4 linked regions of the Notamacropus eugenii genome follow. The protein of the gene in region 4 interacts with the protein of the main gene of each other region in a biochemical or structural test. Links are inferred from orthologs where the notes say so. Each region holds a gene or a part of one and is shown on either strand. Other genes may lie near its edges. The genes, in order: PPARG, TGS1, RXRA and NCOA6.

What was found.
Region 1: the proteins of NCOA6 (region 4) and PPARG interact in a test that uses a peptide from one of them, tested with the Homo sapiens proteins (2 studies listed by BioGRID). The link is inferred for Notamacropus eugenii from reciprocal best matches to the Homo sapiens genes NCOA6 and PPARG.
Region 2: the proteins of NCOA6 (region 4) and TGS1 form a complex in vitro, tested with the Homo sapiens proteins (2 studies listed by BioGRID). The link is inferred for Notamacropus eugenii from reciprocal best matches to the Homo sapiens genes NCOA6 and TGS1.
Region 3: the proteins of NCOA6 (region 4) and RXRA form a complex in vitro, tested with the Homo sapiens proteins (5 studies listed by BioGRID). The link is inferred for Notamacropus eugenii from reciprocal best matches to the Homo sapiens genes NCOA6 and RXRA.

Annotation. Positions count from the first base shown.
Region 1 is NC_092874.1:432,712,045-432,719,604, forward strand, and holds the start of PPARG (peroxisome proliferator-activated receptor gamma), read right to left. Parts: upstream 3,011-7,560; 5' UTR 2,867-3,010; intron 1,791-2,866; exon of another isoform or gene 1,670-1,790; intron 1,610-1,669; exon of another isoform or gene 1,499-1,609; intron 1-1,498. UniProt on the Homo sapiens protein: Nuclear receptor that binds peroxisome proliferators such as hypolipidemic drugs and fatty acids.
Region 2 is NC_092875.1:273,888,141-273,895,400, forward strand, and holds the start of TGS1 (trimethylguanosine synthase), read left to right. Parts: upstream 1-4,239; 5' UTR 4,240-4,265; coding exon 4,266-4,369; intron 4,370-7,260. UniProt on the Homo sapiens protein: Catalyzes the 2 serial methylation steps for the conversion of the 7-monomethylguanosine (m(7)G) caps of snRNAs and snoRNAs to a 2,2,7-trimethylguanosine (m(2,2,7)G) cap structure.
Region 3 is NC_092872.1:486,966,635-486,974,164, forward strand, and holds the start of RXRA (retinoic acid receptor RXR-alpha), read left to right. Parts: upstream 1-4,523; 5' UTR 4,524-4,769; coding exon 4,770-4,848; intron 4,849-7,530. UniProt on the Homo sapiens protein: Receptor for retinoic acid that acts as a transcription factor.
Region 4 is NC_092872.1:418,876,939-418,884,049, reverse strand, and holds the start of NCOA6 (nuclear receptor coactivator 6), read left to right. Parts: upstream 1-4,102; 5' UTR 4,103-4,238; intron 4,239-7,111. Other genes in the region: GGT7 (glutathione hydrolase 7), read left to right, coding at 1,678-1,841. UniProt on the Homo sapiens protein: Nuclear receptor coactivator that directly binds nuclear receptors and stimulates the transcriptional activities in a hormone-dependent fashion. Coactivates expression in an agonist- and AF2-dependent manner.

The sequences.
Region 1 (7,560 bases), on a different chromosome or scaffold from region 4:
ATGCTGGTTTTACTGTGCTTGTGGTTAAAAACTAGAAAACAAAGGGCTGAAGAGGAATATTTGATAAAAATCTGGTATCAGAGCAACAGAAGTAGGGTTTTTCCTATATCATGTAGCAAAGAAAAGAAAAAGCCATGCTGGTCCCCAGCTGAGTCTTAAAATTTAATATACCCATCTAGTTTTAAAGGTATCGTCAGCATACTGAATATCATATGTCATATGATTTAAATAAAGGAGGAAGAAAATCATTTGTGTAAAGTATATGTTATGACAAAAGAAAAATGTGTAGTTCTATTTTTGCATTTTCCTTTTGACTGATATATTCTCGATTGAATTTAATAAACACTTATTAAGCACCTACTGTTGACTAAGCTCTGGGAAAAGAAAGATGGCAGGGTATGTTGCCCTCAAAGAGTTTATAATATAGTGAAAGAGGCTGGGCCACCATAAGATATACAAATAACCACGATTTAAGTGAGAAAATGAGTATAATTGCCACCACAGAATTCCTGACTCTCAGGTTGGATGGGACATCAGAGGCCATCTAACCCTACCTGTATCCCCTCTACAACAGGACAAGCATCCACCTTTGCCTGAAGACCTTTGGGGGAAGGGGACATAATCCATTCTACCCAAACTGTCAGGAACTTTTGTTCTTACATCAAATCTCAAACTCCAATTCTCCAAAAACTTTTCTTAATTACCCTTTCAGTTCCAATTCTATGATTTAGTAATTACAAATATTTAATTTCTCATGTAAAATTGTCCATGACTGCATAATACTTAAAGCTGAAGTTATTCACAAAAATGGAAAACTAAGACATTTTATTGTAACAATTAGAAAAATCCTGAAATTTGTCTATTACTATTTACTCGAAAATGTATAATCGATGTACAATCACAAAAAGGCTATCAGGGCTTATTTTTTGGGGGGGAGGCTTATGATGATCAATGATACCTGTCCATCATTTTATTACAGTATTTAATTTCCTAAGTAATTTCCCCCGAAATTTTTATGGAACATCCATGTCCAATTCCTAAAGAGAACAAGAAGGGGGAGTTAGCTCTACGTTACTACATAGCAATGATGAGTTTCCTATGCACAAGAGGAGGGTTACAGGGCACCTGAAGTCCACTGTGGTTAGGCACTTAGTTTGACAGGGTCCGTTTTATGAATAAGTAATTCATTGATCTCTCCATAGAGAGAAACTTTCTTTTCACAACTTGAAAAAAAATAAAACAAAAACCAAAACCACACCTTTGAAGTGAAAAGTAGCATGGCTGATAAAATGATACATTTTAATTAAAATATGTCCAAAGTCCATTTCCCCGTCCAAATATTTTCAACAGCTAATTCAAGCAAATTACCAGAAGAAATTACACCTATGCATTTTGGCCTTAAGCTCATTAGGCAAAGTTACTTTAAAAGCCCTTAATGCTTTTAGGTCAGAATGATAAATATTCCAAGTCCCCAATAGTATTACAGGTCAGTTATTACCAGAATATCACTACTGGCTTTCACTCGGACTTTATGGGCTAGTGGTCTCACAAGGATCCCTCCAGGGCTTCAGCCGGCTCCGCTGTCAGTCACCACTGCAAATGCCAAACGTTCCGCAAACTTTCTCACCAAAGCACTTCAAGAAAATGTCGCTGATGCGAGCTGACTCACCCAAGTTGTAGAAGTCAGCGGCGATGAAGGTGCCGACGGAGCCCTCCTACCCCTTCGGATCAAAGTGGAGCAGCTGCTCCTCCTCTTCACCTGACCCCATATAAAAGCCGTGGATCGGTGACTCCCAGTTTCCGGCGCTCTTTCCCTGGCCCCTCCCCAAAAGCCCAGGCACAAAGTACCACCTTTCTCTTCACCCTCACACCCTCCTTCCACCCCCAACCCCAAGGAACCTGTCATCTCTGTTTACCTGACCCACCTCGTTTCCCCCGCAAGAGTTCAGAGGAGCATAGCCTGCTGCTGTCCTGCGCCGTGCCCACATGGCATCGAGGGACTCAGCTTGGCAGCACGGGGCACACTGGGGAACTCCTAGTACCAGCGCGCTCATCCTGCTGCTCGGAAGCAGGCTGGCATCCCTGGGCCCCTCCTGCCCCGTGCATGCTCCCAGAACTTCGGGAGGGCTGGGGGCTGTCATCACCTGTTACTTCCCTGCACTACAACCCCAGGGCAGACCTGGCGGACAGAAGGACAGTCAGACAGAGAGACAGATGCTCTGTTCCCTTGCCTAGGTCGGCAAGGCCGGGGGGGAGCCACTTGCATGGCGTCCGCCCTTCACACAGGGCACACAGTCTCCCAGGAAACTTCCCTCCCTATTCTCGGGGGACAGTGACCCCCTTCCCAACCCTCCGTATTCCAGGGCACTCGGACTCAGCTCCCTCTGACCCCAGGTCGCTTAAGTTCTACGACTCCTTTCCGGGGCCACTTAGCCCTGGAGCCAAGCCTCGGTGCCCTCTCTCTTCCGTGACATAAGACCCCAGAGTCTCTTGTCCCGGGGCAGGGAACACGCACCCTGCGCGGCTTCCTTTCGGCTCAGAGCCCCCTCGGCCCGGGCCACAGGAGCTGCGAGTCTCCTTTAGTGACTCGGGCACACACAGACCCGCGTGCCCTTAAACTCGGGCCACTGGGCACGCCTGTGAATCTTTATCCCAAGACATCTAGGTCCGCGACCCTCGTAGTCCGGGACACGGCGGCCGAGGAGGGAGCCCTGATCCCGGGACACCCGGCGACACGAGTGCTCCCGGCTACGGGACCCCAGACGCGTGGGGGCTCTTGGCCCCAGGCACCCAGCCCCGGGCTGTTTTGGACAGCCCTCTCCCCGGTCCCCGCGGCCGCGGCCCAGCCCAGCGGGGGCGCTCTGACCTGCGGCCGGTGGCGTCCCTGGCTCCCGGTGTCCGCCCCAGCTGAGCCGAGCCAGACCGGGCAGCTCCGGTGACGGTGACGGCGGCTGCGGCTCCGGAGTGTCAGCGCGCTCTTCCTGCGCGATCGCCAAGTGCGGCCGGGGCCGGGGCCGGGGCGGGGGGCGGAGGCTGGGGGCAGGGTCCTGGACTGGGAGGGGGCAAGGAGAGAGGAGGAGGGGAGGAGGAGGAGGAGGAGGAGGAGGAGGTGGGAGGAGGAGGAGGAGGAGGGGGAGGAGGAGGAGGAGGAGGAGGAGGAGGAGGAGGAGGAGAGGAGGAGGAGGAGGAGGAGGAGGAGGAGGAGGAGGAGGAGGAGGAGGAGGAGGAGGAGGAGGAGGAGGAGGAGGAGGAGGAGGAGGAGGAGGAGGAGGAGGAAGGGGGCGGGAGCGGGGGCGGCGCGCAGGGACCTGCGCTCCCCGCGCGCTCGCTGCTGGCTGGCTGGCTCGCTGGCTCCAGGACGGAGCCGCTTCCGAACCAGCACCAGCCCGCGGCCGGCCCCCCGCAGCGCTCGGGTCGGCTCGGCCCTCCGAGCGGGGGACAGCGCTGCCTCCCCGGAGTGAGCCCACCCCGCCCGCTACGGGGAAGTAACTTTGGGGTCGGGATGGCAGAGGCGGGCAAGAACGCGGCTCTCCTCTGGAAGCCTGGAGGTCAGCCGGGACAGCCTGCGAGGGTCCGGAGAGTGGAGAGCAGAGCAGGGCGCAGTTGGAGAGCCGAGGCAGGGACTTGGCATCTGGAAGAGAAAAGCGGGGCCGAAGCACTTCGACCACTTAAGCCTTAAACTGAGTCATTTCTGTTATCCTGAGCGAGAATGGAAGCGCCTTGGGGACAGAGTTGGGCTGGAAGCAACCTGGGCACAGAGAGACCAGAAGCTGTTTGAGGGGGCACCTCGACGAGAGCTGTGGTGGCCAAACTTCTTGCTTCCAGCACTGTAATTTTCTTTGTATCGAGACCCTTGGAGGGGAAAGTTGGGAGACTTCCGAAAGCCCACGTGCAGTCATGCAAATGCAGAGGTTTGCTAGGGTTTGTTGCATACAATTTAAGGAAGTCTAGAGCTTGTGGATGCAATTGTAAATTCCAAAAGATTCCCAGCTCCCTGAGCTGAATTCCTTCAGGGCATACTATTTTGGAACTGCGGGACTGGCAGCAACTTGGCCACTTTGCCTCAACTTACTCAGCGCACGTTTAGATGGAAAGTTTCTTGAGGCCAGCAAAGCAGTCATAGGCCCGAAACTCCTAGGGGACAAACTTAAACCAGAGACCGACGTAGAATTCCACCGGCCCTTTCTCAAGGCCAGACAGAATGGAAACTGTTTGAGGACAGACTTAGCCCGGAAACTCCTCACTGAGGGATGGAAAGTGCCTCATGGAGGGCAACAGCCTTAGTCTGCAAAGATTTTCTAGGCCAGAAAGGGTTTTCCAGCATTTGCCCTAGAAAAAGCACCTGGAACGCTAGGGACTGGGTTGGAAGCCCAGCTAAGTCACTTGACCCTTGTAAGACCTTCGTGAGTCATTTCCCCTTATTCCCTCAGTTTCCCTCAGCATTACACTTTCCTAACTGTAAAGTGGGTTGGACTGGGCCTGGCCATCTCCAAGGTTTCTTTCCCTCTCTAAAGCCTTCCACAATGGATTTTGAAGGTGGGTTAGCCCGGTAGTGAAATAAAGGGGCAAGTGACTAGGCTTAGACAATCATTCTTTGAAGTAGGGAGGGCCCCAGCTCCACCTCTGAGACCCCAAACGACCCTCTTCTTCCTTTGCTGCAGTAATCCAATTCATTTACAGGTCATGGCATCACCTCCCTGATATGGGCCCAGAACAAAGGGCAGACAGCCCCAAATGCAACTTTTACTAGTCAAAAGATTATCTACTTTGTCACCGAGAGGGATGTATCAGTCTTCTAAGTCCTCTCTCCCATCCCATCCCACCCAATCCAAGCACTGCTAGTAAACATATATAGGAACAAAAGACAGAAAATGAGATCCATTAAGTGAGATGCTCACAACTTCCTAGCATCACAGTATTGTGGAAAGAGCTCTGCTCTGGAGACAAAGGTCCTAGATTCAAATTCTACCTCATGCTTGTTATGATCTTAACATACAGGTTAAGTCACTCAACATCCTGGAGCCTCAGTTTCCTCATCTGTAAAATGGGGGAGGGAGGCTTGGACTTGAGAGTTTCTGAGGTCCTTTCCAGTTCTAAATCAGTGATCCTTATTTCTCTCCATTCCTACTAAATATTGTTTCATATGAGCTGTAGATGATCTTCTATAAAAATATCCTCTCTATCACATATTCTGAAAGGCAGTATGGACAGATGAAAAGAACACCAGATTTGTAGTCAGAAATCCTGGGCTCAGTCCTGGTTCTGGCATGTATCAGACATATGACCCCTGGTGGTCTCCCCAGTATCAGTGTCACTTCATTGTCCTGGGGCCTCTCTCCACCTCCCTCAATTCCCCATCTCCCCACCAACTGGAAGTATATTTAAAGCTGCTGAGACCAAGCAAAGTTTGTGGTACTCATCTCAAACATGGAATCTTCTAGTTTATGACCCTGTAGGAACAATTTTTTCCCCTTCATTTCAAAAAGCATATTCCAAGTATATGAAGAATAACCAGTTCTCCAGTTCTACCACAAGGGACCTAACTGAAAAGCCTTCTGATGACCAAAAGGTATAAAACTTCTTTTCATCAATGCTAATGAAGAACACACCTTGCTGCTAACCAGGAGTGTACCTTATTTCAGTTTTTTGGGCAATCTTTTTTTTCTCCTGAATCAAAATCTCAAATGAGAAAATTGATATTAGTGATCCAACCCCAAATGAACCAAGTTCTAATTACAGAATGCTCATAACTAAAGTCACTCAGGAGTGTAAAGTAGACTCAACATTTTCCCCGCTCAAAAATATTCTTCTAGTATGTGTGGGCTACTTACTGCCTTCCTCTTACAACAATGAAGCAGAATGGTATCAGTTCATTGGATCATGGATTGAGAGCTAGAAGGGACCCTAGAAGTCGTCTAGTCTAATGGCTTCATTTTATACATATACATGTTGAAGTCCAGTTAAGTGACTAGCTCAAGGTTACCCAAACAGTGAGTGGCAGAGTCAGGATTCCAGCTCTGGTCCTGATTACTTGAGATGAGCTGTTGGGTTTTATGGTTGTTTGCTTTCCCCCATCTTCTAAACTCCTCCTCTCCTGTCTGCCTCCCTCTCGCCTTCCTTCTTCTCTTCAGAGGAAGGTAAATTTGGATGGTCAAAAGGTGTCCAGTTGTCTTGGGTTTTACTGGCTTCTTTCCTGTCTGTCCTGTCCTCTCCTAAAACCTTAAACCTACTGCACTCTGAAACTGGGACTCCAATGGACCCCTGCCTAAGGTCTCCTCTGGATCCTCCTAGCTTTAGATTATCAATAGTAACTGTTGCTGTTTCCCACCCAGCCTGAAGTCTTTCTTTTTCTTTATCTGATTAAAGGGGCCATGCCCTGGCTATTTCTTAAACAGGCCTATTCAATGAATGGGTGTTGCCTCACCCTAGGTGAGTACCTGCAAAGACCTTGACCTAAAGGGCCCAAGGTCTCCCAGTGCACCCTGGGTCATCTCCAATCATCCTAAGGAATATCAGATCACTGGATTCGGATGGCCCTGGAGGAGAAGTGAGGCTGGTGACCTTGCACAGCCCTCCCTCACTCAAGCCAAAGTCAAGCGCAAGTCATGTCATCATTTCTCTGATGGCATGGTCTTCTTCGGCAGTGAAGGATGAACACAATGCCATGTGACTAATGGACTAACACCTCCTTCTCCACACTGCTATTCCCACTGGTTCTTTGAGTTGGATACAAGATGTCCCAATAGTATTGGACTAAGCCTAAACAACACTAAGACTTTTGGAGCATCTTGTATTTTAGGCTGTAGTTCTTTTGAATCCAAATCAAAAACAAACACACACATTTCAAATAAACATATGCAGTTCAAATATGTGTGTGTGTGTGTGTGTGTGTGTGTGTGTGACACACGTTCATAGACATAATGACTTGTCTGGAGTCATATAGCTAGTAAGATTTAAACTCAGGAAGATGAGTCTTCCTGTTTGCAAGGCCAGTGCTCTATCCACTGTGCCATCTAGATGCATATGGATGTATGTCTATATGTGTGCATATATACATACCTATAGACAGAGTTCATATATATGTATATATATATATATATACATATATATACACATAATTCATATATATGCTTTCCTTCTCACTAAGGAAATTTCTTCCCTTCTGTTTATAATTGTGCAATAAAAATACGTGCCACATGGGGAGGAAATGGAGGTCTAGTAATGTGGATTGACCGTAATTGAATTGATTTCCATAGTATTCTGAACATACTCAAATTGGCTCCCCTGGGAAAAGACTCCAGACATTTTAATATACCAATGATTTTTTAAAAAATGCTGTGTTTAAAAAAATTCAGTAGAATCTTTCTTCAAATAAGGTGACTCAGTTCAGGGTCCAAAAAAAGAGTACATTAACCATTTAACACTTATCCTAGTATTTTGTTACTTTGCTCTAGAAGGATAAAGAAAATGAATGTTCTAATCAGTCTTCTCACTTATGGTAACTATAGATTCCTGTACAGATGTGCTTAATCTTTCTCTTTCTCTTTGTATTTTTATAGT
Region 2 (7,260 bases), on a different chromosome or scaffold from region 4:
TGCTTACTCATAGCTCTTCCCCCAGTAAAATGTAAGCTCCTTAAAGGCAAGGACTGTTTCATTTTTCCCTTTGTATTTCCAGTGCCTAGCACATAGTATATGTTTAATAAATATGTACTGATTAGTATTTGTAATACTGTTTAGTATTATAAACTGCAGAGTTAGAACTAGAAAGGCCAACCCTCTAGTCCAATCCTCTGCTTCTACAGATCAGAAAAAATGAGGATCAGAGAGAGATTGTGACTTTCCCAACCTTACACAGGTAGAAAGTGAGGGAGGCAAGATGTGTACTCAAGGCCTCTAATTACAAATCCAGTGCTCTTTCCATTGCACATTGTTTACTGTGTCTCCATTAAATTGGGAAAATAAGTCATAAAACATAAAAACTGAAAAATTAGAAATTTAAATGATAGATTATCTAATCCTATTAATCTGACTTTAAAACCTTAAATTGAACCATATTGAGTTGGTATTTCTCTTCACTGAGGAGGGTGACATAGCAGCTGGAATGCTAGAATCAAGAATACAAGTGTTCAAATCCTGCCTAAGACCCTTACCTTTGTGACTCTGGGTCAAGTAACCACTCAGCCTCAATGTCCTCATCTACACAATGGGGCTAATAATAGTATCTATCTCACAAGGATGTTATGAGGATCAAAATGGATTGTACATGTAAAAGTACTCTGTGGATCTCAAAGCACTATATAAGTAAATGCTAGTTATTATCATTACTTCTATTCCTCAGTAAACAAGGCTACCACATTTCTGCACATTATCTTCTTACAATGAAAAAGACTCAGTTCTCTCCACCACTAATATGGAATCACAAGTGTTAGTGAGGTTACATGTGTAAAGACATTTAAGTCTTAAGTCTGTAAGATTTTTCAGATATTTCCAATTTGATATCAATTTCTGGAGATACAAATGTACGATTTTGATATTAACCACACCCATAACCAAAATAAGTTGACTTGCCAGAAATCAGTCAAGGAAGGTCTTGATCCAAGCTTCAGTTTCTTAGAAATGAATAATCTAGAAAAGATAACATGATAATGAAAGAAATATTATAGTATATTATTATTATGCTATATATAATATAGTATAGTATAATACAATGTGATCTATGTAATATAAAATATATAATTGATATATGATATGATATGATAGTACAACAGGCATTTCTAATCTACTTGTTTTCTCCTGTGTAGACAGCTGGGGTACTCTTCCAAGGGATTATGAATTTCATTAAGGAGCTTATATACTGTGTCTTGTCTTAACTCAATTGTTACAAAGGCATCCTAGATATTCCAGAAGATGCTCTAAGAATTCTTAATAAAACTGTATCAACTGACTTCAGGGTACAAATTCCTTAATATTGTACATACCTGATGCAGAATGCAGTGCTGTGTATATGTATATGTATAGATTACATTAATGGAAAAAAAAAACCAAATAAGATCAGGAATAGAGAAAGTCAAAGAATCAAGACCTGCCTAGATACTCCAGTTAAAATTGCTCTCAACACTTAAATGTCCATTGATAGAACATATGTGAGAGAACAATTGGGAGAAGGAAAGCCTTTCAAGTAGCAGGAGAAAGGAGGACAAAAGAAGAATCTGAGAAATGGATGAGAGAAATATTAAGTCTGGAGAGGGAATCTAGTACTAAAGTTCAATTTTCAATAAAAAAACATCACAAAGTAGTCTCAAACTCTTTTTTATAGCTTAAAAAGTATTTGGATTTCAAAGAGTAGAAATAAAAATCTTCATGTATGTAAAAAATTTTTCTAAGGCCAGAAATGTTAGAAAACCTATTTTCCCCTTTAAAAATTAATACTCTACTTGCTACTCATTAGTAGTGCCTTTCAAACTTTTGGTAGGTAGAACTTAGATGGTGCAATTTGTTTTGTGGCCAAGTCATATCAAAGGAAATATTCCTATACCCTTAATATCCCAAGCTAGAAAGAACTAAACCTACGTACCCCAAAAGGCAGGAAACTCAAGTAGCATCAAGTAAGCAACCCCATACAGGTGGAAGGTTCTGCTTTCTCTTTCATATCTAAAATTGCCTTATTACTGTTTTCTTTAATATCTAAAATTATACAGATAGAAGATTAGTGACCTGCTACCTATAATGGCACTATGAAGTGGTTCCACATCACAAACTGGTATTTTATCTGTGGAAATGGCATTAAAGCAGCATGAACATCTACTTTGCTGCTGCAACCTTAAGGACTGAGACTTTTTTATCTGACTTACAGCTGGAATCCTTTTAGAATGCAAGCATTTTCAGAGCAGGGACTGTTTTACTTTCCAATCTGTATCCCCACGGTGCTTTGTACATTCTTGTTATTATTCATTTATGTCTGACTTGTTACACCCATTTGGGGTTTTCTTGGTATAGATACTGGAGTGATTTGCCATTTTCTTTTCCAACTCATTTTGCAGATGAGGAAACTGAGGCAAGCGGGGTTAACTGACTCGTGCAGGGTCATACAAATAGTGGCTGAAATAAGATTTGAACTCTGAAAGATGAGTCTTCCTGACTCTAGACTCAGGACTCTATCCACTCAGCCATCTAACTATCCCACTTTATACAAAGTAAGAACTCAATAAGTGTTTGATTACTTTTAAGAGTTCTTCCAGCTTTAACACTACAAACCTAGGAATCCTTCTTAAGTACTGTTCTAATTAACCTACAACTCTACATTCTATCGCCTTAGTTGTCTTTTACTCTTCAGCTTTTACATCCAGCTCCCCAGGAGTCCAATGTCAATTTCACAGATGTTGCTACATGGCCTCGTCACCCAACACTCCATGCTCCTGAGGCATGATTATGTATGACATCACCAAAAGGCTGGTGAAGCACCCGGAGAGAAGAGAAAATGAACAGGTTGTGCCACATTATGAACAAGGAATGGGAGATGTCCCTAAAGAACAAGAAAATTCATCTTTCAGCTCAGGGCATTCTCTCTGGCCTCATGCCTGGAACTTCTCTGTGCCGCCTCCTGACCTTCCTGATTCCTTTAAATACCAACTAACATTTCACCACCTAAAGAAGTCTTCCCCCAACCTTCTTAATTCCAGTTTATTCCCTCCGTTAGACTGGGAGGAAAAGTACAAACAAATACATACAAAGGAAGCTATATATAGCTTCCTATATATAGCTTTTTTTTGGCCTGTTTGTATCCTCAATACTCAACACAGAGCCTGGCACATAGTAGGCGCTTAATTTTTTTAAAAAATAAGTGCTTTGATTTCAGAGTTGTAATTTAAGACTAGTATGCATATTATGTTGCATAATAGTCAAGAAAGACAAAGCAAAAGTGTTTAATTACGGTAAGCGCAGGATGAGAAGTACCAGTCTTTATAGCCTCTTTTTGAATTATTTAGCACATGGCAGGCGCTTAACATCGGATGAGAAGTGACCCAGACTGGCCAAGGACCCACGTGCCCCGACCACGGGGGACTGGAAGCAGAGGTCCGCCGATACGCACCCACTACGCTCAGGCACCCGCCTGGATAGGAGGTGCTCCCGTCCTCCACCGCCCCACATCCCGCGAGACAGGAAACCCGCGGCCTCCCGCCCCTCCCCCGTGGCCTCGAGACAGGAAGCGCCCCTCCCCCCGCCTCCGGGATAAACAACGCGGCCCGAGGTGGAGGGGGAAGGGAAGAGGACGACACCAAACCCAGAGAGGAATCCGCCCTCCCCCCTGTCCACACCTCCCAAAGAAGAAATAAAGAAATGGAGGAAGACGCGGCTGGTCTTCCCCTCTTACACCTCCTTCATCCGATCCCCACCTCAGGCAGTCCGGCCGTGCACGCCGCAGAGCTAAGCCGGCACTTTTCTCCAGCCCTCTAACTAGGAACACGAGTTGCGTCTCCAACCTGGACTGCGTTCGGTGGAACACCTTCCCCTCCTCTTCCCGCTCCCGCGTCCTCGGGCCGGAGAGGCACTTCCGGTCGGCGGGGTGGGCGCGCGCGCTGCCGATGTTCGCTCCCGCTGTGGCCGCGATCCCCGGGGCTGCGTCCTCCCCGCGCCCCGGTGTGTGCGCGAGCTCTCTGCCGAGCGACCCTCGGGAGGCCTGACCCGGCCCCCCTCCGCACACGCCCCGCGAGCGAGGGCCCGACCCTCCCCCACCCCGCGAGGGAGGGCCTGACTCGGGTCTCCCCAGCCCAGCCCAGCCCGGCGGGGGCGGCCTCGGCACGAGCGGCGAGGGAAGCTCGGAGCCGGGAAGGGTGCTCGCGGCTGAGCGCCGCGGCGAGATGCTGTGCGGGAAGTGGAGCCTCGTGGCGGAAATGGTCCTGTACATCGAAGGCCTGGAGGAAGATCTAAAAGTCGTCTGCCTCTGTTCTAGAGCGTTTGTGGAGTAAGTAGCGACGTCCTCCCGTCCCCGCAGCGTAGCTGATGCCCTCGGGGTCCTGCCGCCCCCGCCGGGCCAGGAGGCAGGAAGACTCAAGCCCCTTTTGCCTCAGTTTCCTGCTCTGTAAAACGAGCTGGAGTCTCTGCCGAGAAAACCCCCAGTAGCGTGGTGAGGGGTCAGACGTAACTGCCCTGCGACCCTCTTCTTCCCTTCCTTTCTAAACCTCTTGACCCGCCCCCTACTCTCTCCTTTGGTAAGCTACATGCCCCTCCTCATAGGCCCCCCCCACCCTCATATCTCCGTAATTATCCACTTTTTTCTTCCCTAGTGCCTTTAAACAGGAACAAGTATCATCCTGTGGAGGAAGAAAGCTTCCCTAGATTGTTCAGCCCCTCCACCGATCTGTGTCTGGTCACCCTCTGTCAGCCTAACTCCTAGGAAAAGCTGCTGGGCTTGCTTCTTCTGGATCCCTCCGACTTCCCATCCCAGCCAGCCTCTCCCACTCACCCATGGCCTCTTTTCTCTAAACTACTTTCCAGTGATCTCTGAATTGCCAAATATAATATTATTTTCTCAGTCCTTGTTCTTGACCGCTTTGCAGCATTTGTGACACCATCTTCTCTGGGGTTTTGCCACACTGCTCTTTCCCAGTGCTTCTCCCTATCTGAACTTGCCTCGTTCTTTGCTAGAAAATCATCTGTACCTCAAGGCTGTGTTGGCTCTTCTCTTTCTTGGCCATCTCATCAACTCCTGTAGGGTTAATTATTCTCCCAGCTGGTCTCTTACCCCCAGATCTATATCTCTGGCCTGAGCTCCACTTAGGTGTGCATCACCAGCTGCCTAGTAGACACTTAAAACGGGATGTAGTGGACGTATTTCAAAACAGAACTTATCTTTCCCCCTAAAACCCTTTCCTTTTCTGTACTTCTCTGTTTGTATCACTATTCTTCCAGGCTCCCAGGTAGCATAAGCTCGTTGTTACCCTTGACACTTGACTTTGTTTCATGAAATAGATATAATCAGTTGTCACATCTTAACTTTTCTGCCTCCACACATCTCAGTTCTGTTCCCTCCTCACTACTCACACAGCCACCACTTTTAAGTTCAGGCTGTCTTCATCTCTCTCCTGGACTTTTAAAGGCCTCTTATTTTTTTCTCTGTTCATGATTTTCCTTAAACAGCCATCTGATCGTGTCACTCCTGTATTCAATCAGGAGTCATTGGTTCCCTACTGACTTCAGGATAAAATTAAAATTCCATTTTAGTTTCTAAATCTCTTCACAATTTGGCCTCATTCTAATCTTCCAGCTATATTACATTATTCGCCTTCTCACACTCTTCCAGCTCAGCCACATGAGGCACTCCACGTTTAAGCTCTGTGACTAGAACATGTATTACTTCAACAGCTAGTTGATGGTGCACTGATCCTGGAGTCAGGAAGACGAGAGTTCAAATCTCATCTCAAACATCTACTAACTGTATGACCCTGGGCAAGTCTGCCTCAGTTTCCATAACTGTAAAATAGGGATAGTAATAGCACCAACCTCCCAGGGTTGTTGTAAAGGTCAAATAAAATAATATTTGTAAGGTGCTTAGCTCAGTGCTTGGCATGTAAGTAGATATGGTATAAATGCTAGCTGTTTTTCCCTCCTTACCTCTATTTGTAGAATATTTCACTTCTTTCAAGACTTGATTCAAACAACCCTTTTGATTTCTACTCTCTTCCTTCATATCCTGTATTTTACCAGGCAGCTAGCTAGTACAGTGGTGCAGTTAATAGAACTGGGAACTTAATGTCAGGGAGACAGCTTTGTGATCCTCTGTATGTCACTTAACCTCTCACAGTCTCAGTTTCTCCATCTGTAATATGGGGGTGAGGGTGGTATTAATTTCACAGGGTAGTTGTGAGGATTAAATGAGATAACAAAGTTCACTGTAAACCTTTAAGTGCCATATAAATGCTAGCTATTTAGCTACTTTGTATTTCTTTTGAATTCTTTATTCAGCGGTATATGTTATCTCTTGAAAGCAAGTACCTATATTTTTTTGTCTTTGTATCCCAAAAACAGTGCTGGTCACTGGTAGGTACTTAATAAATTTGCTTGTTGATTAATTGCATTAGGAGTAAAATAAGTGGGTTTAAATTTTGTCTTTCTCACTTGAACAGATTTACGGCAAGTCTGTACCTCAGTTCCTTATTTGTACAATATGGAGAGTTGCACTGGACTTCAGTTCCAAATCTTAATCCAGCTTAAGGAGAAAAGAAACAAATTCCCAGAAGTCATATACAGAGGATTTAATTTTCTCTCAGATCACTACCTGTGATTTAGTAACTAAGTCTTAATGAGTTCCTTGAGGCTCATTGTGACTAAATGACTTGCTTGGAGTTACAGAGCTAGTAATAAGTATCAGAGAAAGGCTTTGAACATAAGCCTTCCTGATTGCATTCTGTCCACTTGGCAATACTGCATCTGTATCTCATCATACATCCAAATAAATGGCTAATCCTTTCAACAAATTCATGGCAACAAATGTTTATTAAATACCTACCATGTATGCACCTGGTACTGTCTTAGTCCCTGCCCTCAGAGTCCTTATATTCTACTGGGAAAGTTAACTATTTTCTAAATTTAGCAATCTTCATAGAGCCAAACAAATGGAGAAAATTACCAGTTTTGGAAAAGGTGTTTTTCTCTTCTCACTCACTGAATGCAGATTTCACCACATAGAATTTTATCAATTTCATTTTCTGAGCTAACTTTATCACTGTCAATAGATTCTGCTTCAGTTGATGTTTTGTCTATTGTAAACAATGCTGACTTTGCTCGAAACTTTGTAGAACTCTAGGCATTGTCTTTAGAGTCTGTGACAACATCTTTTTGAGTATCTTGGGGGTA
Region 3 (7,530 bases), about 68 Mb from region 4:
CCAACTCCTTCCCCGACTCCCTCCAAAGGCTTGCAATGTTGCCATATCTCAGAAAAATCACCATTTTCCTTGAACCTTAGATTCCCTTCCTACAATCATCTGGCAGAAGAGCTAGGATAAAGAAAGCCTCTGAAAGCTGAGACCTCTTACCTCCTAATATCTCTTCCTAATTTCTTCTGATTAGTGCCCAGCTTTAGCTATGCACCAGTCTCAGACTCCCAAGACACCATCTCCAGCCTCTGCTGGCTCATGATTGCTGGGCACCATCTCCCACTAGGCTTAAGCTGGAATGGTGAGACCCAGGCAGAGTTTCCCAAGCTTGACTGAAGAGTCTTCCTTCCCACCCTAACTTCACCACATACTTGAAGCCTTTGGACCACTTTATGGGACTCAGTTTCCCCCTGTGATAAAATGAAGGTGTTAGTCTAGAGGATCTAATTCTCTTCAAGCTCTAACATTTTCCATTTCTATGGTTCACCCATTGATAAAGACCTAGGGAGGGATGATACTAGGTACTGAAGGATATATAAAGATGGATAAGATATGGTCCTTACCCTGAAGGAACTCCTAGTCTATTATGAGAGATAAGAGTGAGAAACAAATAACTGGGGTGTGAAACAGTCTGATATACATATATAAATAAAGATAATAAGTACTAGAGGACAAACCAGGAAACCTCACAGAAATTGCATGTGAAATTTTTTCTTACAGCACTCATTGATTCATTTGTACCCATACTCTCTAAATCCCTTGTCTCTCTGAAGTACATGTTAACCTGTTGATATATCCTTCTAGGAAAAGGGCTTCACAGTGCCTAGTCTTGGGAGTGGGGGCTTCAGGTGACTCATCCCTATCTGTGGGCTTCAGTATTTCAAATCTTTGTTGTAAAATGATCAAATTGGTCAATGAGTCAAGTGCTTACCATGTACCAGAGGAAGCAGACAAAAAAGAAATAATGCCTCCCCCTCCAGCAGCTTATGTTCCTTCAGGGGAAGCAACATGGACATATATAAATAAATACAAAATACATACCAAGTAATTTCTGTGACTGGTAGATTCAGTAGTGGTCTCCTGAAGAAGAGAGCTTTGAAGGAGAGATGGCAATGAGGAAGAAACAAAGGCACGAAGACATAGAGAATGCTGCATGTGACCAATTGTGTCAGACCACAGAGTCAAAGAGAATAATGTGTAATAATCCTGGAAAGGTAAACTGGAGTCAGATTGTGATGTGTTTTTAATCCTGAGGAATTTGTTTTATCCAAGAGGTAATAGGAAGCCAGGGCAGCTAGGTGGCGCAGTGGATAGAGCATCAGATTTGGAATTAGGAAGACTCATCTTCATGAGTTCAAATCCAGCCTCAGATACTTACTAGCTATGTGACCCTGGGTGAGTCACTTAACCCTGTTTGCCTCAGTTTCCTCATCTGTAAAAATGAGCTGGAGAAGGAAATGGAAAGCCACTCCAGTGTGTTTGCCAAGAAAACCCCAAATGGGGTCATGAAGAGTCAGATTTGAGTGAACAACTTTTGGGTCAGAGCTAGAGGTAGCTAGGTAGCACCACACATAGCATGATAGGCCTGGAGTCAGGAAAACCTGAGTTCAAATCTGGCCTTAGATACTTACTGACAGTGTGATCCTGAATAAGTCACTTACATCTGTTAACCTCAATTTCCTCAACTACAAAATGAGGATAATATCAAAGTTGTTGTAAGGATCAAATGAGATGATATTTATAAAGCACTTAACACAGTGATATCCCTTAATAAATACTTATTTCCTTCTTTCCAACTGTGTTTTTGAAGAGTACTCCTGGTGTCGAGGGAGGGGGATATGGAGATTAAGGGAGGCTTCACGAAGTACTTACCATTTGAACTGACAAATAGTGGCTCCCCTGAGTGAGCCAGGACTGCTGCTATTGTCCCCTGAGATCAGATGATCAGGGGATTTGTACCTAAAAGGAATCCTCTACTCCACAGATTCTTAACCCTTTGTGTGTTATGACCTCTTCTGGCATTCTGGTGAAACCTATGCATCCCTTCTCAGAATATTTTTTTTAAAGTTTATAATTCAAGAAAATTCCAAATTTTGGAGTTCATTGAAAATAAAGATGTATTTTTCCCCACCCAAGTTTATGGACCCTGTGAAATCTGTGTACTCTTTGAGCATTCATCCCTTGAATAATATGAATTACCATTCATATTATTATTAATACTTAATATTTAAATAGAATGAATAACAATTCATGCTCCTTCAGCACTCTAAGGTTTATAAAACACTGTCCTCACAACAACCCAAAAAGGTCAATAGCGGGAGCATTCTTACTCTTACCATTTTACAGATGAAGAAGTAAAGGCACAGAATAGAGGCAAAGTAGCTCGCCACAACTAGTAAGTACCAAAGCCAGGGTATGAAACCCAGATTTTTTCATTCTGAGGCTAGGCTAGTCTTTTTCCCAACCACATCAACTCTGTCTCTTTGCTTCCTGGAGGAACAGAACTTTGAAGGAATCTTAGGATTTGGAGAAGCAACAGGAGAAGCAGCTGCCTCATTTATCTTTTCTCTGCTCCTCTTGGACATGTCTCTCCTCTCTCTTGCTACACATCCTTAGGTTACTGTGTTTTCCACAGCTTTCTATGCCAGAGGAGAAGGGTGGGGTGTGAATGAGGTAGCCCTCCCTCTCCTCAAGCATTGCTACTTAATTGGACTAATTTGGTTGCTAGACTCATAAAATGGCTGTCTCTTTCATGCAATACAGTCGGTTTCCATATTGGCTACTTACAGGGTTCCCCTTGGAGCCAAATGGCAGGGAACTCCATTTCTCAAGCAGGCCCCAAGAGAATTGGCTCATTATTGGCCTGGAAGAATTTCCACCAAGTAAAGTTCTTCTTGGAGTTGGCAGCAGCACAATTAAAAATTTCACCCATTCCTTCCAAGACAAAAGAAAATGCACACACACACATACATATACATATATACACACATGCATTTGTAGACATATACACACATGTACACACATACACATCTGTGCATAAATACAAATACATGCATACATATGGAAGATGCTCCTTTTATACCCCACTCTAAACCCCACCAACATACGCCATACAGCTTCAGCCCAAGCCAGATAATAAAGTGTTGCTGCTGTTCAGTCATTTTTCAGTCATGTCCAACTCTTCATGACCCCATGTGTAGTACTTCTTGGCAGAAGTACTTGAGTCATTTGCCATTTTCTTCTGCAGCTCATTTTACAGATGAGGAAACTAAGGCAAACAGGATTAAGTGACTTGCTAAGGGTCACACAGCTAGTAAATGTCTGAGATCAGATTTGAACTCAGAAAGATGAGTCTTCCTGACTCCAGGCTTGGCATTCTATCCACTGGGCCACCTAACTGCCCCAGATAGCAAATGGTTTTCTGTTATTCTACCATTTATTTGGCCATATATGTGTTTGATATTGAGGGGAATTATATTCTCCCCCTTATCCAAAATGATTCTTCATTCTTTCCTCTCTGGTTTCATCCTTCTTTTCAGATTTCTTCAAACTAGGATATTCAATGTACTTGGAATCAGGTCTTAGCTCTAGCTTGGTCCCTAAATCACTATGATTTTAGGGAATTCACTACTCTGAACCTCAGTTCCCTCATCTGTAAAGTGAAGATGTTGAAGTAGGTCTCTAAGGACTCTTCCAGCTCTGACAATGTATCTTCTAAAGTCCCTCTGAGCTGTGACATTCTATGTTCTGTATTCTAAATTCCCTTTGAGCTCTAACCTTGCATTGTTCACAAGCATAGGGAGAGTGAGGAGCAGCAGGGAAGATTTCATCCTTTTCCGGGCACATAGATGTGCTGCACTAACAGATCTGGGAGATCTGGATTGAGGTTTCAGTATTGCCTCTGGCTTGCTGCATGACCTGAGGAGCAACTATTAGTCTCGCTTTTCTTCATTTTGATCATTTGTCAAATGGAGGCGTTGGATTTCCCCCTCAATGGGGTTCTACAGGGAGATGATCTCTGAAAAAAAAAAAAAGTCCTTGGAAGGAAGGTTGTTGAAGACTCCAGATTATACACACTAATTTAGACAAAATGGCAGCCCATGTTCCTCTCCCCCAGCAAAATCAAGAGTCCCCATTTTCTAAGAAGAGTCCAGAGATGTCCTGGTTTAACTGGTACTACTTACAGATGGTTTTCCACTAGGTTGTGACTCCTGGTTTTAGCCCAAGTACAGAGAGGGTGTGTTCCCATCTTTCCAATGCCTGAGAATTACTCATTTAAAATTCATTTCAGTGGACTTTTTATATACCTATTTTATGTCTGTTTATTTAAGTTACTATGGTAGTGTCTCATGAATGATATTTAAGGAGAAACTTGGGCTTTCTAACTCAATTGCTGTAATTTTCCTTTAAAATTTCTCTCCTCCTACCTCCCCTGTCTCCTTTTGGAACAGGAGTCTGGTTGGACTGGACTGGGCTTCAGTTCAGGGGAGGAGAGAGTGCCCAACATGTGATCTGGGAATTGGGAATTTCGGAACAAAATCCCAGCTAAATCTCTCTGTCATGTCTTCATTTTTTCCCCCTTTCCCTCTCCTCTCTCCTTGTTAAAACAACATCTTTGGAGACTTAAACAAATCAGTGGAATGATTTTGTTCCCTTGCCTTTCTCCTGACTTTCTGAAGATCATTTCCCCCTCCCCCCCACCCAAATAATCCCTCCTCTTTCCTTTCCTCCTCTCTTCCCCCTCCCCTTCACCCAACTCCAAGTCAAGGGACCTTCTCATGCCTTCTGTTCGCCCCTACCTGGACCAGGTGCTCCTGAAGGAAAATATGGATAGCTTTTGTCTTGGCTTTGGACTGGGTAAGTTTTGGGTTTTTCTGCTTTTACTGGCTTTCAAATGGACAACTCCATCAGTGCTGCAAAGCAGGATGCACATGGACTACAAACCTGAAGGTTTTCCATGCATCTGTCTCCTATGAATGATACCTAGATAAAATAGCAATGGCACAAGAGTCAGAAGAACTGGGTTCAAATCCCAGACCAGCCCCTTGTAACTGTATCTTTGGGGAAGTCATTTGACTGTCCTTGGGACTTAATTTGATCTTCTGTAAAATGAGAGGGTTGAATTCCATGACCTCTGAGTTTCCTTCTGGATCTAAATCTATGATCCTATGTTATTATTAGGATTCCTAAATGAAAACTTAGGGCAATGGGAATAGGAACAGGAAGGGGGAAATTTAGGGAAGAAGAACAGTGGGGCAGAGCATATTCAGGGCCAGGATGATACTCCCTAGATGGGACTGTAATTTACAAACAATTTTTTGGTAGGCTCTAGGAGCTTTGCACTTTTATACTTTTCCCCTAAAGTTTTGTATTTGTAGGTAAATATTTGCTTCGCATTAGGCAGTACCATAGTCCATTGGTGAACCCATTTTTCTAACTGGTAAAACAAGGCAATGAAATAGTATCTAAACAACCTCCAGGTGGTAGCAGAGCCAGGAAAGACTGCTCCTGTGGTCCAGGCTACAGAAGTCAGAGTCCCTTAGGATTAAAAGCATTCCAAGACGCACAAGGTATGACTAGGTACAGAAGGACCAAAATTGGCCTAAGAGAGCTAGCTCTTCAGCAATATCTTCAAACATGACACATCCAATTTGGAGTATTGCTCCGCAGAACCAGCAAGACATTCAGGTCCGTGCTTTCTCTAGCTTTGTTTCTCCCTCCTCAAGACTACCAAATCCTAACATGAGGCTTGGGGCCTGGAGGGACTTGGAAGGGAAATTTGCAGGAGAACTTGGTCCCCAGACCTAATGTATTTTGCTCCAAACACATTTCCCCTTGATTTTTAAAACCCATGTCTGGATTGCAGAGTCCATCCGTCTGTTTTTAATTTATTCACACTAAACTCATCAGAATGTGCTTGGGTAACCACAGTTTGATGTCACCAAATGCTGCTAAACCTCCTTTTGCCTTTTATCTGAGGAAGAGGAAGCCAGGATTGTGCCAAAAGAAAACAGGATGAGTCAACCCTCACAATCCAAGTTGAAATTGACATCCAAGTCCAAGTGGTCTCAAGATTCAATGTAAGGCATTCCCCAGGCTCATTGGAAGTCCTTTATTAGATATCTCAGGCTTATCAATGCTGCTGGTGAAATTGTACTTGAATAGTGGATAGATGGATAATTTTAAAAAGCAATGATGATGATGATGATATAGCATTTATATAGCACTTACAGGCACTGTGCTAATCTCTTTATAAATATTATCTCATTTGTTCCTGAAAAGAACCCTGGGAAATAGGTGCTGTTATTATCCCTGTTTTATAGTTGAGGAAACTGAGGTAGACTTAAGTTTAAGATTAAGTGACTTGTCCAAGGTCACACAGCTCCTAAGTGTCTAAAGTTGGATTTGAACTTGGGGCTTCCTGACCCCAGACTTGGCACTCTGGCCCAACATAGGTGTTGGCTCTTACCTCCACTATCAGTGTTTTACAGTGGTTCACTGCACTTGGCCAGGGAGTATTCAGTACCAGCTGCAATCAGGCTTCTCTCAGATCTTATAGAATCCAATTCCAATACCAGTTCTGTCCTGTCTGGGGTGTGAGGAAAGGTTATTTTATGGGAGATCATGCATTTTCCTTGCAATGGTACCCTGGGGCATTTGGTGGGTAAACCTGGAGAGCCATAAGCTCCATGTAGGCATCAGGTTAGGGGGTAGACCCCAGGTTGGAAGGTGGTTGCTTCTTTCTTATTATTTATTGTCAGGATGGCAAAAGGCAGATCATGTGAAGGGGGATTGTGGTGGCACATATGAACAAAGTTCAAAAGAATCACCCAGATGATTGAATTGGTGAGGGAAGTAAGCAGAGATTGTCAGGATAGCACATTAAGAGGGAGGTAGCAACTCCAGATCAATGGGCCTACTCAGGGGCTGGGAACCTGCGGCCTCAAGACCACATGTGGCCCTCTACGTCCTCAAGAGTGGCCCTCCAACTTGGATTTAGTCAAAGGGCTACCCTTGAGAACCTAGAGAGCCACATGTGGCCTTGAGGCTGCAGGTTCTTCACACCTGGCTTAGCTCCACCTACCACCATCAACTGAAGGTCTTACAATCAACAGCTATGTTACAGGATGTGCCCAAATCAGTTCTTTCCAAGCGCCAAGACAGATACTTTGCAATGAGCAGCATCGTTTCTATATCTACATATAGGTAAATGAAAACTCAAACACTCTTAAGGCAGCTGTTTGCAGTTCTTGATTGCCAACCTCAATGAAAATGCATGAATACTTTGGCTCTGTCAGCGGATAAGGGTTTACCAGGGAATGAGGTATAAAAAGGTAGGGGTAGGTGTGTTTTACTTGGAAAGGGCATGTTTCAAAGTCCCACAGCTAGGGAGAGTAGGGAAGAGGGAAATTTTGTCAGATGTAACAAAGCCCGAGGCCTGGGACACTGCTCCATGGTCTGATTTCCTGGGGAGAGCCTCTTAGCCTAGATGGGGAAAGTCATCAGTCAGTCCGTTGTTATTTCTTTCAATTCCATTCC
Region 4 (7,111 bases):
TAGCCCTCAATACTTCTGAGTACTCCAAAATCAGATCACAATGTCATTGGGAAATGTTTGACAAAATAAATAAAAATGCAATCGAGCACATATAGTGTTCACATATGGCTTTCAAAGTCAACATGCTAGGTGATGCAGTGCTAGACCTGGAGTCAGGAAGACTCATCTTCCTGAATTCAAACCTGGCCTCAGACACTTACTAGCTTTATGACCCTGAGCAATTCACTTTAACCCTATTTGCCTCAATTTCCTCATCTGCAAAATGAGCTGAACAAGGAAATGGCAAACTACCCCAGTATCTTTGCCAAGAGAACCCCAAATGGGGTCTATGAAAGGGCTGGACAAGACTGAAAACGACTGAACCACTTGCTGTACCTTCCTCCAGGTTGTTACGGGGAGGAAAGGGCTTTGTAAACTTGAAAAGGCTAAAAAGACAGTATTGTCTTTTAAATTGATGTTATTTGTGAATATAAAAGATTAAAGGTCAAGTTCATCTACAAATCAGTTAAAAGCCTTGAGTCTTCTCCCTCCAGTTCTCTATGGGTGGTCTTTCTTTCCTGAGGTAGGCATTTCCTCTCTTCTCAGGGTTTAGAGCCCTCAAGGGCTGGGAAGGGGTGGGGGGAATACCCCATAAACCAATTTAGGTCTAGAGGGCCCTCCTGGCCAGCTTCTGTGAAGAGCTTTAAGCCAGGGCTGGCCAAATGAAGGCAGGCAGTTGGCAGAATTGCTGTTTGTAAAGTTTGTCCCAGACACCAACAGCTACCCCTTTTCTCTGCCCTTTTCCCACCTCAGTGGTGGCCCTTCTCTCTCAACCTCCCTTCTGACCCCCCAGTGCCCTCTTGCCTCCCACCTACCCAAAGACTGCTCTTGGGAAGTGCTTTGAGATCTAAGATAATAATTATTTAGCCACTTCCTCCTTTCTGGGCCTTAGGTTCCCTACCTTTAAAATAAGGAAGGTTGGACTAGACTCCCCTTCTAATACTAATTTATATATGACAGTAGTCATGTGACTTTAGGCCAATCCCTTCACCTCCCAAGGTCTCATTCCCTTCATCCTTATTTTCCCGTTGGCCTGGACTAATTCTATAGCATTGTAGTTGGTCTCCCAGCCTCAAGCCCATCTCTTTTCTGGTCTATCCTTCATATAACTGTCAAAGAAATATTTCCAAAAGACCTCAGTAAGTGCTTGATTGATTGATCTGTAAAATGGAGAAGTAGGACTAATGCTAGTGACTGATAACTCCATAATAAACTAGTTGTGTGGCACTGGGCAAGTCCCACAGTTAAGCTGTCCGGGATTGTTTCCCGTGTAAAATGTGAGGATTAGAGTAGATGATCTCTACAATCCCTTCCTACTCGGACAGTTTATAATTTTCCCATGGGAATTTATTCCATCAATCTGATCTCTGGAGAATGTTGGGATTTGTCCCTATTAAGGGATAAATGGGAGGACTGGAGAGAAATTTGGGAAGTAATGGAGATTTTTCTAGGGGTGCTGAAATTGTTTGTCTACATCTTGCCCTGGACAGACAAGCTTGTCTAGTCCTGAAAAATAAATCATCTTGGCCAGTGCTTGTGGGTTTATATGAGTTTACTGAACACCCAGAAGAGAGTTCTGTACACAGGAGATACTTAATAAATGTTTGAATTGATTTTGTTGCATGTGATTTCTTTCAGGTGAATTCACAGAGGAAGAGGTTGAGTTCCTGGAGGCTAGGGGCCATCGGGTTGAGAAGGTAGACGTTCTGTCCTGGGTCCATGGAGGTCGGAGAACCAACAATTTCATCATTGGGGTGAAGGATCCTCGAAGCCCTGATGGAGCGGGTGCCACCATCTTGTAGGGCTGGGTGGGTGGGGCAGGGGCAGGCGCTGCAGCACAAATACCCCTTTGCATGTTCCAAGAGCCCCTTGGAGCCCTGCCTCCCCCTGGGCAAGGGAGGGAGGGAGGAGGGACAGGCACAGAGTGGGTCTGAAGACCAGAGGTTCCCAGTTGGTGCCTTCGAGCTCTGCCCAGGGCCTGGGGACCAGAGGAGATTTATATCAAACCCAATTCCAGAATAATTGACAAATTCCACAGTTGATGGGTGTGGTGGCCTGACAGACCTCAGGCAAGAAGACTAGAAGAATGGTTCTGCCTCCTTCCAATACTTCCTACTCCTGAGAGGCTTAGGGAAATGCTTGCTTAAAAACAAAACAAAAACTCCCCAAAAAAACCCCACCCAGGTGGCCCGAATCATCCTTCCTTCCCACCAACCCTTGACATCTTTCCCCATCCCTCTCCCCTGTCTCATTTCTTAAATGACTTTTTTTTTAACTGACCATCCAGAAGCAAGGGGCCCTCTTTCTCCTTCTCTCTGTCCCAGAAGTAGTAAGGGTCTGAGGGAGAGGTGCAGGGAGAAGGGGCCACATAAGGGTGGGAGGGAGGGAGGGTGGGTAACAGCTCAGGGGCTTCCACTTCCCAAGAGGAATTAAAGAGAAAGTTGCTTAAGAAATCTCTTCTCTGGCTTGGTCTGTTAGCTGGTCTCCAGGTCAAAGTTGGGACAGATGGCTGAATTTTTGGGAGAGCGAAGTCTCCTCACTTAGACTTCTAATAGGAGCACTTTAGGCTGTCTGCAACCTTGGAGGCCATTTAGACCATCTCTCTACCTCTGGGCAATGTCACCCCTAACTCAGTCCATAAACAATGCCAGTCCCATGAAGTTCACCAAGAAGGACCCTAGGGAGGAAAAATGAATCTTCTCAACCTCTCTTTAATTTTCCTTAGTCTCTTAGGCTGTTCCTGGAAATAGGGTGGAGTAGGGCATGCCATCCAGCACTTTTTTCCTTATAGCTCATTGAGTATTAATGCTGGAAACTTTGACCCTCTAGTTGTACAGAGATGGAAATTTAGGCCCAGAGAAAGGAGAGCACATGCCCAGGTCTTCAACCTTGATTTGACAGAGATGGTACTCAAAGCACAGAATCCAAGAGTTGAAAGGAACCCCAAAGGTCATCCAGTCTGACTGAGAACTGAACGGAAATTCCTTCTTCAACAACCCTGAAAGGTGGAGCTCTCCATGTTAACAAGATTTTATTGACCCCTAAATCTCCTTCCCTGTAACTTTCACCCGCCATTGCTCCTACTTTTCTCTGCAGCCAAAAGGACAAAGCTACCTCTTCCACGTGACAGCTCTTCACATGCCTGAAGACACTGACCATGCTTCCCCTAAGTCCTTTCTTCTCGTGGTTAAGCCATCTGAGTTCCTTCCACTTGTGCGCTCTTGTCCACCTAGGCCTCCTGACTCCCTTCCAGGAGATGCACAGCCCTGCTCTCAGGTGTCAGCAGGGGCCGTTCCTGCTGGGCCCCCAGCCGCCCCAAGTCACCGAGATGACCTCTCTCTCCCTAATTTCAGTTCTGTCTCTAGCTTCTCACCGGGCCACTCTCAAGTCCTGGGATCCCGCGACCCTACTTAGATATCCCACTAGTCCCCCAAAGTGAACACTGGGAGGGAATGGAGACCACCCAGTCTCCTAGAGGTGAAGGCACTTGGGCCAGTCATTCAGAATGTAAGAGCCAGAGCTGAGGACGCAAAGCCTAGGAGCGAGACTTTGGGCCGGTTCTGTCCCTGCCTCCTCGGGGCCAGGGGCAGAGGGTCCAGGTTCGGAAGAACCAACCAGCAGGCAGAAGAACGAGACCGATTCCTGGCTACCCTTTCCTTAAGAGGGCAAACCAGATGGGGCGCAGTCCACGCAGCTGGGGATTGCGAAAAGATGGGGGTTACTGTGGGCTCCGGACTGTGGGGAGTCGGGGAATGCGCAGTCCGGAGAACCTGGAGATCAAGGGTTCAGCGCTGCCAAGGAGTAACTTGGGGCTCAGGAAAGAAAAACTGCCGAAGATCGGGGAGGAAAAAATCCGAGGTTCATCCAGGAGGGACCAGGGCGCGGTGGGGTGGGGCGGGCCCGGGCGCGCCTGCGTGCGGCCGCCCCGAGCTCCCGGGGACGTTCGCTCCGGTCACGTGCGCGAGGCCCCCGCCTGCCCGGCCCCGCCCCGCTCCTCCCCCTCCCTCTCCCCCTCCCCTCCCCCTCCCGGGCCCCGGTCCCCTCCCCTCCCCCTCCCCGCCGGGTCTGAGGCCGCTGCCGGGTCCGGGAGTCCCGGTGTCCCGCTGTCCGGCTCTCCGGGCCGCGGGGACGGACAGAGCGGCGCTCGCAGGCCACGGGCCAGAGTGGGCCGCCGTCGGAGGCCCCTGGCAGGGCCGCAGGTGAGGCAGAGGCTGGAGCTCGGGCCGGGTCCGGGGGGGTGGGGTGGGACTGGACGGGACGCGAATGGGACCAGCCTTGTCCCTGGTCCCGGGAAAATGGCGCCGCCGCGCGGGGCGGATGACAGACCCGGCCCGGCCGGGAGCCGCCGCCCGCCCGCCGCCAGCCACCGGGCTCGCTCGTGTCCCCGCCGCCGCCGCCATGTTGGGGAGCTGGCCCCGGCCTGCGGGGAGCCGGGGCTGGGGGGGGGGGGGCCGGGGCCCGGCCTGCGGCGGTGCGGGGTGGCCTCGCCGCGGTGCCCGAGCCCGAGCTCCGCCTCCCAACCCCCCAGCGGGGCCAGGGGAGGCAGGTGTCCAAGCCCCGGCCCGGGCGGGCGTGCAGGGCAGGCCCACCTCATTGTGTGCCCGGGTTACCGGGCCGGGTGTGTGTGCGCGAGTGTGCCCCGGGGGGAGGGCAGGAAGGACACGGGAAGGCCACTGAGGCAGAGCCCGGGCTGGGGACTTTGACAGCGGGAGTCGCAAAGGAACAAGCTTCTCCCTCCCAGGGGCTTCACGGTGCCTGAAGGTGGGGATAAGGAAGGAAGCCTCGGGATGGCCGGGGCCTGGCCGTGTTGTGTGTACGAAACAGCCGTGGCATTGTGTGGGGGTAATGACCCAGGGCACTCTCCAGGGGAGGACCCGAATAGGGGTCACACAGGGAGGTCACCCGTGGGGGCTGAGGAAGCGGTGTAGACCCAGCGATGTGGAGCCCGTGGTTGGGAGTCGGGACTAACGCCAGTGTGGGCAGCCCACCACGAGCCCGCTGAGCTTCGTGCGCTTTAAACGCGGACTCTGGTTGTCTGGAGCCCCGTGCGGGGCGCTGTCCTCAGAGCGCTTGAAATCGAGCCTCCGAGGCTTACAGCTGCACAGAGACTTTTGGGACACCTGGTGTAGGGACATACAGAAGAAATACAAAGAAACCGGGGAGGGAAGGATCGGGCCGTCGGGAAAGGTTGAGGAGCAGGTCTTGATCGCTGCTTCTTGAGGGAAGGGAGGCTTGTCTTCCAGGCAGGGGGGATGGCCGGTACAGAGACACAGGTGGCCAGTGGAGGTGCCATGGAGGAAGAACAGATATTCAGTTTGTAGATTGGGAAGGGGAGTAATGTATAACAAGGTTGGAGAGATAGATTGGGGCCGGGTTGTGAAGGGTTTTAAAAGCCAGAGAGAGAAGTTATTGGTGTAATAATTAATAAGGAGCAATTGAGAGGTTTTGAATGGATGAATGACCTGATTCTTAAACTCTGTGCCTTAGGAAAATTTATCTGTTGTGTGAAGCAACATGAATGGTGTTGGAAAGACCTTGGACTGTAGGTGCTAGTTCAAGCTCGGCCACTACTTATGTGATTTAGGATGTCAGTTTGTTTCATCTAGGTCTCAGTTTCCTCATTTGCAAACTTGGAGGATTGGAGTAATGATCTCTGCTGAAATTTTATTAACTCCCTTTCCCCAGAATCACTTTTTCTTTTCTTGCCCTTTTATTCTTTCACTAAAAAGAACTTTCTCAGCCCTTTCAATTTCCTCATAATCTCTCTCCTTCCCTCCAGTCGCTGAAGTAAAGTATTCTGACTAAGGCTAATTCTTTTTACCTAATCTCATTTCTTCCTTTGAAGACCTTACTTAAAGAAGTCAACCCCTCTGAGTCACTCATCTCTTCTGTCTCTGCTCCACTGGAACCTTCTCATCAGTTTACAGATGTGTTCATTTTGACACATCCACTTTTATTTAGCTACTATCCTGTCTTTTTCCCTTATGCTGCTAAACGTCTTGAAAAAAATTGTCTCTCCCAGATGCCTACACACCCTCTTTTTGGTTCCCTTCTATCTACTGAAACTTTCCTCTCTAGGATCACCATTACAATCACCAAATCCAGTGCTTTCCAAACCCCTTGACTTGTCAATGTCTTTTGACACTGTTGACCGGCCTCTTCTATTCAATACTCTTCTCTATTGGCTTCAGAGACCATACTCCAGAGATTTTCTTACCTTTTGATGTGCCCTTCAGTATGTCCTCAACTTGGTCTCAATCCCATAATGACGAAGGGCGAACACACGTGATTTTTCCATTGACAAATGAACATTCATTTCCACGACTTCAACTACTTCCTCTATGCAGACAACTCCAAAATTCTCTCCAATTCTGACCTCTAGATCTGCATTTCCAGTGACCTACAAGAAAGCTTCACCTAGATGTCCTTTTGGCACCTCAATCTAACATGTTAAAACCAGGTTTATTTCTTTTCTTTGGGCTCTCCTCCTGCCTCCCCTATTTTTGTCTGATTCACCACCATTTACTGTGCCTCTTATATTCAAAACTTTGGGGTTGTTAGTCTTTACTTTTCCTCATATCTCATATCCAAGTAGGTACCAAGTATTTTGCCAGTTCCTCTGCAACATCTCATTCATCCATTCTCTCCTCATTCTTTCCAATGATACCACCATAGTACAGGTCCTCATTTCTATTCACTAGTTCTATTTTAGGGACCTTTCTACCTTCTCAAATCCATCCTTCATATTACTGCCAGGGTATGATTTCTTATGTATAGATCAGGTTGCTCTTCTGCTCAAAAAACTTCAATGGTTCTTTATTACCTATCAAGTAAAGTTCAGATTTCTTTGCCAGGAGTTCTAAGTATTCTACAGTTTGGGGCTTTCTACATTTTAAGCCTTGTTTCTTTTTCTTTCCCTTTGCTCACAATGCTTAAAACAAACTATATTACTCAAACACAGATAGTCCTCATTATCCTCATCTGTTGAATCATCAGTAGTCCTTTAGTTCTCAACTCATTTGTCACCTCTTCCATTAAATTTTTCCTGATCAGTAACAATTTTCAGATCTCA